Nothobranchius furzeri: one gene and its partner. The protein of the gene in region 1 binds, or shares a complex with, the protein of each later gene. Links are inferred from orthologs where the notes say so. Each region holds a gene or a part of one and is shown in the gene's direction. Other genes may lie near its edges.

What was found. The genes of interacting proteins can lie anywhere in the genome.
Region 2: the proteins of dldh (region 1) and dbt are in contact, whole or in part, in a crystal structure (PDB 3RNM), measured with the Homo sapiens proteins. The link is inferred for Nothobranchius furzeri from reciprocal best matches to the Homo sapiens genes DLD and DBT. Residues at the interface, in NP_000099.2 of Homo sapiens: Ser446, Thr447, Asp448, Arg449, Glu472, Tyr473, Gly474, Ser476, Glu478, Asp479, Arg482; in NP_001909.4 of Homo sapiens: Thr174, Pro175, Ala176, Lys196, Arg199, Leu201, Lys202, Glu203, Leu206.

The regions. Positions count from the first base shown.
Region 1 is NC_091754.1:40,923,363-40,929,368, reverse strand, and holds the start of dldh (dihydrolipoyl dehydrogenase, mitochondrial), read left to right. Parts: upstream 1-2,379; 5' UTR 2,380-2,491; coding exon 2,492-2,530; intron 2,531-3,249; coding exon 3,250-3,325; intron 3,326-4,429; coding exon 4,430-4,509; intron 4,510-4,641; coding exon 4,642-4,710; intron 4,711-4,820; coding exon 4,821-4,890; intron 4,891-6,006. UniProt on the Homo sapiens protein: Lipoamide dehydrogenase is a component of the glycine cleavage system as well as an E3 component of three alpha-ketoacid dehydrogenase complexes (pyruvate-, alpha-ketoglutarate-, and branched-chain amino acid-dehydrogenase complex).
Region 2 is NC_091748.1:80,632,075-80,636,569, forward strand, and holds part of dbt (lipoamide acyltransferase component of branched-chain alpha-keto acid dehydrogenase complex, mitochondrial), read left to right. Parts: intron 1-3,722; coding exon 3,723-3,800; intron 3,801-3,869; coding exon 3,870-4,061; intron 4,062-4,143; coding exon 4,144-4,215; intron 4,216-4,294; coding exon 4,295-4,462; 3' UTR 4,463-4,495. UniProt on the Homo sapiens protein: The branched-chain alpha-keto dehydrogenase complex catalyzes the overall conversion of alpha-keto acids to acyl-CoA and CO(2).

The DNA.
Region 1 (6,006 bases):
TTTAAATTTACCTAAATAATCCTTTATTGTTGACATCTTGGAAACTAAACTTCTACTGTTTATGTGTATGATTGATAATGAATCATTGTTAATTATCCCACTATTTAGAGGATCTTCTGCATAATAATTACTATTTATATTTAACTCAAAAAAACTTTCATCTATTTTACTGTGAAGTTCATATATTTTCTCATGGGAATCCATTTATTCTTTATGAATTCATTTGTACTTCCATATCCATAGTTAAACTGATTCCACTATCCATTATTTAGCCAGTGCTACACAATAAATCATCTTTTACCCTGGAACACTTCTAGATCTTTCAACTCTTTGATCATTTTTGCATTTAGACCTTCTTGCTCTCTACAACACCATTTCTCGTCCATGTGGCTGTGATTTTTTTCTGTTTTCTCAGCACCCTTGCTTCTTTGGCTATTGTTTCATTCTTTTTCGTCAGGTGTTCATTTATGTACACATTTGTACCTTTCAGTTTTTTTTTTGCTTGCCTCAACAACTCATTTCTGTACTTCCTACTGGTAAATCGCACTATGATGACTGGTTTTAAGGCGACTGCCTTTCTTGGAAGGGTATGACAGATTGATATTGCTTCACTTTGGATATTAATGTTCTAACTGTGCAAGAAGCTCAACACTTGTTGTTCTAGTGACTGGAGTTCTTCCTGCGGAGCATCCTCAGTAGTATTTCCATCTCCAGTAACTCTGGCATAAGTCCTATGTCTTGTTTCCAAACCAGTTATCACCAAGTCTTCCCTTCTGGTATACTGCTCCAGTTCATCCACCCTCTGTTCCAATACATGATCTTCTTGTCCCTTTCTGCAAGCTTGAATTTCAGTGTCTTGACCTCGTCCATTAATGATAGTAGTTGATCCTGTTGTACTGTTAGCTTAGACAGCTCGGCTGACATAAAATTAAATGCTTTTTTAAAATTTCCTCCATATCTTCCTCGAGTTTCTCCGTTTTTCTAGGAGGGACCATTGTATTAGGCTTACCTCTCTCTCGGCCCTGGTTGCCGGTGAATCTGGAGCCTGGAGCCCCAGGCTGAGCCTGATGGTTGGATCAGGTGGCTGGTATTGAGGTGATGGTGGAGCCTGGCTGCTGGGCCTGGAGGCTGCTGGGCCTGGAGGTTGCAGGGCCTGGAGTCTGCTGGGCCTGGAGGCTACTGGTGTAGTAGGCAGGCTGCTTTGCCTGGAGGCTGATGGTGGAGCCTGGCTGCTGGGCCTGGAGGCTGCTGGTGGAGCCTGGCTTCTGGGCCTGGAGGCTGATGGTGGAGCCTGGCTGCTAGGCCTGGAGGCTGATGGTGGAGCCTGGCTGCTGGGCCTGGAGGCTGCTGGTGGAGCCAGGCTGCTGGGCCTGGAGGCTGATGGTGGAGCCTGGCTGCTGGACCTGGAGGCTACTGGTATAGCCAGGCTGCTAGGCCTGGAGGCTGATGGTGGAGCCTGGCTGCTGGGCCTGGAGGCTGATGGTGGAGCCTGGCTGCTGGGCCCGGAGGTTGCTGGTGGAGCCTGGCTGCTGGGCCTGGAGGCTGCTGGTGGAGCCTGAACCTGAGCAAAAACAAGACAACGGTCATTGAAAGCTTCTCCGGATCACTAGATGGTTAACCAACCATAGATATAAGCGTCGTGGTCAGCAGAGATAGAGGTAGACCAACAAAGGCTGGAGATTCTCCTTGTTCTCCGCACCGACTGCTGTCCGCCGAAATGCCCAAAAGTGAGTGGGAGCATGTTAACAGGCCGTTAGCATGTGTGTCTTACAACCATTATTAAGAAAACACATAGACGTAGTAGATTAATACAAAAGCATAGCTTATAGCGTATTATATTAACGCAACATGTAATGTTTTATTTAGGCGATACGAGGCTCTGTTGGCTTATATTAGCGATCCAGCTTTCGCTTCATTCAGCTCATTTGACAGTTTATCTTAGTTTCAGCTTACTTCAGCTATTCAACAACTTCAGCAATCAGTTACCAAATTTAGCATAAACTGCTAATTTCACAGTTCAGCTAAATGTAAAGATTAAATTGTTAAACTTGTCCAACTGGAATAACAGGTTTTAAGACATTTTAGCTGTTCAGATTTTTATACGATGTTCACAGATTTCAGTTTTTTGCTATTTAACATTATTTTTCTCTATTCTTCACTTACTTTTTGTGCTTTATTTGCTTGTTTGTGCTTTTTGCTTCTACATCTTTCAAGACATTCAGCTCATTTTGACAGTTTTGCTTTGTTTCAGCTTCAGTTCAGCTGTTCAGCAGCTTCAGCTTACAGTTTCAGCTCTCCAGCATTCAAACAGCATTTGTGCAATAAATGCAAATTTTTCTAGTTGAGGCTTGTTTTGTTGCCATAGTTGATGGCCAATAAAGTTTTCTACAAAAGGAGCTTGGACGCCTACTGCGCATGCGCATTACCAGGAGTCCTTGGCTGCTTGCTCTACTCTAGGTTACTTAGCCGGTCAGAGACACAAACACACAAAATGCAAAGCTGGACGCAGCTTTATCGCTCGGTGACCACGGTAAGGATGATAATTATTACTACGTTAGGCTCCACGTGTTGTCATTAAAGATGTCAGGCTGGTTTCAGTCGCTAAGGGTGTGTGAGTGGTATTTTCGTACTCGAGCTATGCTAGCTGACGTGCTAGCTGCTCAGTTAACTGAAGTTGTATGTAGAACATTTATCTCAGTATATTCCGCTGGGAAAGTTCATATCACACCGCTGTTGTACTACGTGGCTTAATGTGCCATTTGATACGTTCTCAATTTGCACATTGTGTGTGAGTCAAATCTAGTGTAGGTGGAAATCACAAATGTCAATGAAATCAGGACTTTTGTAATACTTTTCGATCACCATGTGCAATTCATTAACAGTAGAGTATGTCTCTGTGATGTATCACGTTTAAATCTAACTGTATGTTTAACATTTTGTGTTTGTTTCACGTCTGACTTGTTTCCTCACTGTTTTAGCATGCTAAGACTGCTAGCTCCGGTTCCCATGTAGCCTACATGAAGGACCTATTATCTGTCCTTGTTATTCTTTATAGTATTCGCTTTTCAGAAGCATTTTTGCTTTAGGAACTAAACAGTGCTGTCGTTGGTAGAGCCCTCTGCATGTTTAGCAAGGGTAAATATTCTGTAAAGAAAACATTTGAAGGTTTAAACAGGGAATTAAAACCCACATAGTTTATCAGTTTGTTTTGGTGTTTCATCAATAATGCTTGTGTGATTTGCTTCCCAGCTGAACCACCAGCTCCCCTACAAGCTGCACGGAGCTGCTACTGTGTCCGTCCGAACTTTTGCTGACAAAGCAGCAAGTAAGAAATCCTGGAAGTTTGATCATTGAAACCATGAAATCTTGTTTCATTCTATTAGTTTAAATATAACACAAGTCCTCATCAAAGTTTTTTGTCCCAGACAGACAAGGCACTTTCACTGTGATGTTCAGACCCACTTTAAATGACTGTTGTTTCTAAAACACACAAACTTCAGACAGATGACCATGGGATCATGCTTTCCCTACTAATATGAATTCATATTAAAGCTAAAGTACATTCAGTAGATATAATTTTGAGATTTCAAACCAGGCATTTACAACATGTTCTTTGGCAGTCGGCCTCCTGGCAGCAGCTGCTCATGAAATGGTTCAGATGGTCAGTGAGAGGGTGATTGTTGGTCTGTATGAAGCAGGGTTGGGGCCCAACACATGGAACCACATACCGGTACATCAGGCCGTGATTAGGGCCCAGATCTGATATTCCAGGTCATTTTGGGACGTTTCTAAGTGACGTAAGGCCTGGGGTCATAATTGTTTTATTTTCTGTTTCCCCTAGAATAAAATGCCACATTTTTTTAAACATAAAGTCCTAACAATGAGAGTATTGTTGCCATCTCATTGCAATAAGTAAAGTCTCTAGTAGGGATGTCCCGATACAACTTTCACTTTCAATACGATACTGATATTGCAGCCTTCAGTATTGACCGATACCGATATCAATCTGATACGATATCAGCACAAATCATACAGACTTTGACCTGTGTCATAGTGTAGAATGTATGAAAGGCTGGATCAAGTGATGGTACTCAATCGGAGAGCCAATAACAGTATTTTTTTCTTAACCATTGGTTGCAAAAATGTGAACTTTAACAGACTGCTTATATCGGAGATTTTTGATGCCGCGCGACATAATCCGATAGTGTTTATGGGCCGCTATCAAATTACTTCCGATATCGATATCATAATGGGACTTCCCTAGTCTCTGGAGTCCCTCTGTCAGACTGCTTCTCTCGTTTCTTTAGAAGTTTTCCCCGACAGCGGAGTACATCTTAGCCCCAGATCCATCCATGTTGTCGTAAATCCCAGGGTGTGTGTTCTGTGTTTCTGCTGTTGTGAGTGAGGTTTTGGTGTGTTTCCTTTGTAGTTGATGCAGACGTCACAGTGGTCGGCTCTGGTCCCGGAGGATATGTCGCTGCCATCAAAGCTGCACAGCTTGGTTTTAAGGTGAGTTTCCTCTGTGACACAAACACGGGAGTACCCGACCTGCTGCTACTTCTATCCAGTGAACCTTGAATCCGCAGAAACTGGTTTCTAAAATGAATACGGGTTTTCTAACAATTGGATTTCCTTTGGCAGACAGTTTGTGTTGAGAAAAATGCAACACTGGGTGGGACGTGTCTAAATGTTGGCTGCATCCCCTCAAAGGTAAAGAGCTGGTGTCTGTGTTGATCAGGAAGTTAAGCTTGTTTAGACTCATTTAGTTAGACTTTATGAAGTAAAATCCTTGGATTGATTAAATGTTTTGTTTTCTGTAGGCTCTGCTCAACAACTCCTACTTGTACCACATGGCACACGGCAAGGACTTTGAAAGCAGAGGCATCGAAAGTAAGACGGGACGATGTTCTTGACACACGTTTTACATTTTATGAGGCTTTGCAGGCTCGACCGGGTTCCACAGCAGTTTTCAGACACACGTGAAAACTGAACAGGCGCAACCCAACTGGCTACAGAGCTCTCAAACCTCACAGACCAAGTGAGACGTGCATCTTCCTGAATACTTCTGCAGCCAAGTGATGGCTCGTTCATACGGGGCACTAGGGGGCCGTCCATCCTGAGCTGAAGGCAGAAGAAGTTAAAGCACTGCATCACACTCCGATGCTTTACTTTTGTGTTTGTTCATTTTAAAGGCTCAAGCATGGAAGTCTAAAAACTCAAAAGATAAATGAACCAAACCAGAACTGGTTTCTATTGAACTATAATGTACAATACAGTGTATGCTCCCCAAGTGGTGAGCTTTGTGCTCTATGTTCTTTGTCCCCCAGTAGGTGGTGCCGGTGTAAAACCCACGCCGGTAGCCCAGAGAACACGAGACTCTGTAAAGCACGGGTGTCAAACTCAGGCCCTCGGGCCAAAGTTGACCTGTGATCTGTTTTTATTTGGCCTGTGAGATCAAATATATATTAAAACCATTTTGCCACAAAGACCACAAATCTCATTGTGCTTTGCAGCGTTAGCGAGGCAGTAGAAGCGCCCCCTCCTTTCTGTTTACGATCATTAGCATCCGTGCTACTAGAATCCGCGTCTGCAGCGATGCCATCCTCGGCCTCAAACAAGCTGATAATACTCCTCAAATCGCCGAGTTTACTCTGCAGTTTGCTGACTTTTAAGTCCAGAAATTGAGATTTCAGCCGCTCCGCAGTCCGTCCACAGCTGACATGGAAAGCTCACCAACCCGGCCTTAGCTGCTCAGGTTCTCTATGTTCAGCAGCACTTATCTCCGTGAGCAACTGTTGTCTGTGAGGAAGATGAACAAAAGTCTCACTGATGAACTCCTTCTTAGCTTAGAGTCCAACCCCACAGGTGCAGGTCTGGCTGGAACAGGTGAGCATCGCAGTAAATCAGAGTGGATTAGTTAGTTTTCATGCACTTTTTCTGCTCCAAAGCATGAAAGTTAATGAGATATTTTCATTTAAGAGAATTGCTATTTTTTTGGTTTTTGTT
Region 2 (4,495 bases), on another chromosome or scaffold:
AGTTGACTGGCAGCCAGTGAAGCTGGAGGAGAAGTGGGGTGTTGTGGGTGTGTTTGGAGGACTTGGTCAGAAGCCGAGCACAGGCGTTCTGAACCACCTGTAGACGGTTCAGGGAGGTTCTGCTCAGACACGTGAAAAGAGAGTTACAGTAGTCTAAGCGTGAGGAGATGAAGGTGTGGAGAACTGTCTCAAGTTCAGAGCGTGACAGAATGGGACTCAGCTTAGCAACGTTCCTGAGATGGAAGAAGGAAGAGCCAACAAGAGAACTGACATGAGAATCCAGGGTGAGAGCTGGGTCAAAGGTCACGCCAAGATTCCTGACGGAAGGTTTGGTGTGGGAAGCAAGCTGACCAAGAGAGTCTCTGACTTTGGGAACCAGCTTGTCTGGGGCACAGATGAGGATCTCAGTCTTATCTTCATTCAGCTGAAGAAAGCTCCCACCATCCAGGTTTTGATAGAGCCAGGGCGCATCATCAATCAGGTCACAGTAACAGGACACACACTGCCACAGACGCATGATGTTATGTCCCATTCTGTATTCTGCGCTTCAGCCTGTGTGTGTGTGTGTGGGGGGGGGGGGGGTGCTCTCCATGTCCAGTGTGTGTAGGCCAGGTCCTTAGTCAACTTAAAGTTGTACACATTTTTCCGCTACGTTTTCTTTCATAAATCCCAAAGCAGAGACGAATCATGACTCAGCAGAAGACGCCTCAGAGAAAGAACTGGAGACACTTGAACAACAAGTAGTTACCTTTGTGCTCAGTAAGAATATAACTACCCATAAAGAAGCTGTATGTACACGTCACACTCTGCCTACAACTCAGAGAACACAAAGGAACATGTACTGGTGCAAGCTAAGAGGGTTAAGATGAAATCTTCATTTAGCTAAAAACTAGTTACACAACCAGATCAGAGGCCTCACGGGGTGCTGTGAGTCAGTAGTGCATTTTTAATTGTGCTTTAAAAGCTTCAAGTGTAGTTGTGAGTCTTAATTCCAGTGGAAGGCCATTCCACAATGTTGGGGCGCGACTCTTATGTTCAGGTGGTGGAACGACCGGTAGGTTGTTGGCAGCGGAGCACAGTGATCTTGAGGGGGCGTGTTTCTGCAGTAGTGATGATAGATGAGGCGGCGCAGTCCCTGCTAGTGACTTGAATGTAAATACCAGAATCTTGACCTCAATGCAGTGTTTTAGCAGAAGCCGCTGCAGTGCATGTAATACTGGAGTGTTACATTTGTTCACTCCGGTAATAAACCTTGCTGCAGCGTTCTGAACCATCTGCAGCTCTGACAGTGTGGAAGTGGTCAGACCGACATACAGAGTTGCAGTAGTCGAGTCTGGAAAGCACAAATGCAGATGTTACGATCTCAAGGTCCTTTCTGGATAGCATAGGCTTGATCCTCGCAAGGCGCAAGGATGGGTTAGGGTTAGGGTGAGGGTTAGCATGATCTCACTACAGAGTTCACCTGTGCATCAAAGGTCAGTCCAGAGTCCAGTCTCACACCAAGATCAGTTACCACTTTACGTTCAAATTGTGCTAATGATAAGAGGTCTATGCTACATGGCTGATGGCCATTAGGTGACAAAACTATGACTTCAGTCTTGCTCTCATTACAACTGAAGAAGTTGGTCGACAACCGTGAACGCACGTCTTCCACGCATTCCACCAGAGACTTAATGAGCCAGACAACCCCTCTCTCACTGGCAGATAAATCAGGCAGTCGTCGGCATACGACTGGAAGTCAATACCGCAGCTGTGGAAGATCATGCTGAGTGGGAGCAGATAGATTGAAAAGAGCAGGGGACCCAGAACAGATCCCTGAGGGACCCCCCATTTCAGCTCTTTCTGAGACGATAAGTGATTACCTGTAGAAACACTCATAGTTCTACCAGTCAGGTAGGACTTCATCCAGCTCAGAGCTGCTCCTGAAATCCCCACCCACTGCTCTAGGCGTTCCAGCAGAACCTGATGATCCACAGTGTCGAACACTGCAGTCAAGTCACTAAGCAGCAGCACCACCGCCTTCCCAGCATCAGCTGCCAGGGACACGTCGTTGGGCACCTTTAAGAGAGCAGTTCCAGTGCTGTGCCCAGATCTGAATCCAGACTGGTGTGGTTCTAAGATCTCGTCGGTGGCCAAAAATAGACAGAGCTGATCATAAACTGTCTTCTCAAGGACTTTTGAACTGAAGGGAAGGCGCGAGATTGGCCTGTAGTTGGAAATAACTCCTGGGTCCAAAGCTGCCTTCTTTAGCGGGGCTTCACCACCGCATGTTTCAAAGTGTGGGGCACAAGGCCGTGACTGAAGCTGCTGTTTATGATGGACACTACCGGAGGAGCCAACACTGGAGAAACCGTCACACGGGGAACCTGATGGCTTCATTCTGGAGACCAGCTTCAACACATCCGACACAGTAAATGAGTCTAATGTGGCTGATAGTGGAGGTGGAGCCAGAGGGGTGTATAGTGGGTCATGTACCAGAGAGGCTCTTGCTGTTGCAGGTTTCTCCAGACAACACCTGGAAGTTCTCACAGCTCTCAACTGAGTCATCCATTGTAGTAACCATTCCCTCCGGGTCCAGCGCTGAACTCAGTGCTGGTCACCTGAGGCTGAAGAAATAATGCCAGCAAAATAGTTAATTTTAGCCCTCTTACCTGCCAGCTAGGTCCGAGCTAGCTTGGACCTAGCGAGGCTAGCTTGGACCTGAACAGCTCTAAAGAGATTTGAAGTCTGTCTTTCTTCCACAGCCTTTCAGCCCTCCTGCTGTCACGTCTCATGTGTCTGATTTCCTCTGACGTCCAACCTTCAGATTTTCTCCCAGACTTGACATCAGTGAGGGGCGCAGTCTCATCCAAGACTGATGCACATAGCAAGTCAAAACGATCAGAGAACAACTGTGGGTCAGGCGGGACTGAGTACTACGAAGGCCACTGGTTGGAGACAACCACAGAAAACATTAAAAGTATTAAAAACCAGTGGAGTTTTGGCACCGCTGGTCATACTACAGGTGGAATAGTGATGTCACAACCAAACCCAGGTGCAGCATGGTCAGAAAATCTACCACACTGGTATTGCTAGTCCTCTCGTTTGGGAGTCCTAAGTCCAGAGTGTGGCCGTGCTTGTGTGTGGGCCCGGTCCTCCACCAGCTGTTTCTCAGGGCAGCACACATGCATGTTAAACCTCCCAGAACTAAGACATGATCAGAATTGTGCATAAAAACTGACAAAAGTTCTGAAAAGTCCAATGTGGCCGAAATAAGAATTCCTAAAACTGTAGAGTCCAGTCCAAAATCCAGGAGGCATGGCTCGGAGCTTCAGTGAGTCGAGCCGTAAGAACCGGTTCACTTTACCGGACCGGACCAACTCTATGTGTATAGCACCGTTAAAGACACGGCGTGAGCGCTGAGCAACATGCTGAACAGGCAGGATCAGTTAAAGCACTAAAATCATAATATGATCACATGAATCTCTAAAACCGTAGGATTTTAAGTCGGATCAAAAACCCGCAGAGAGGACGCCAGCCTGACTGTAATGGAGGTCAGAGCACGCTGCCCCCGGGCTCTGACCTCATTTAAGGTCAGCGGGTCACTCTAAAGAGCCGGAGTTCCCATCACTAGTGAGCGTGGCTTTACATTCTGGTGCACCTTTAACCTCACCCCTGATTGGTCCAGAGGTCCTGAGCCTCAGTCCTGGCTTAGTGATAACCGTGTGCTCTCGTTGGCTCAGGCTGCCTCTCTGGGTCTCCTTCACTTCCCCATCCTAAACGCCTCGGTGGATGAAAGCTGTCAGAACATCACCTACAAGGTAATTCCTGGTGTTCACTGGTTCTGAACAGGTAGCTGGGTGGCTCTGACGGTTCTGGCTGCTTCTCAGGCATCTCATAACATCGGGCTTGCAATGGACACCAGCCAGGGTCTGCTGGTTCCCAACGTGAAGAACGTTCAGCTGCTCAGCGTGTTCGAGATCGCCCAGGAGCTGAACCGCCTGCAGGCGCTGGGGGCTGCAGGTCAGCTGGGTGCCACCGAGCTGAGCGGGGGGACGTTCACTCTGTCCAACATCGGATCAGTGAGTCCAACCGCACCGCAGTACCGCGTTCTACTGCAGAACCCGACCTGAAACTAACGTGGTTGTCTGTGATTGGAACCAGATCGGAGGGACGTACGCCAAACCGGTCATCCTTCCTCCTGAGGTCGCCATCGGAGCCCTGGGAAAAATCCAGGTGAGATCTTGTGCTGTGATCCCAAACGGGAACCAACGTGAGCGGATGTTTCTCAGGCCCGTTCTAACTGTGTGTCTAGGTTCTGCCCCGGTTTGATGCCAGCGGTGAGCTGATTCCAGCTCACATCATGAAGGTCAGCTGGTCAGCAGATCATCGCATCATCGATGGCGCCACCATGTGTCGCTTCTCCAACCTGTGGAGGGAGTACCTGGAGAACCCGGCCTGCATGGTGCTGGACCTGAAATAAACACATTCCCCATCAGCCCCGGGGTGAGCGGTA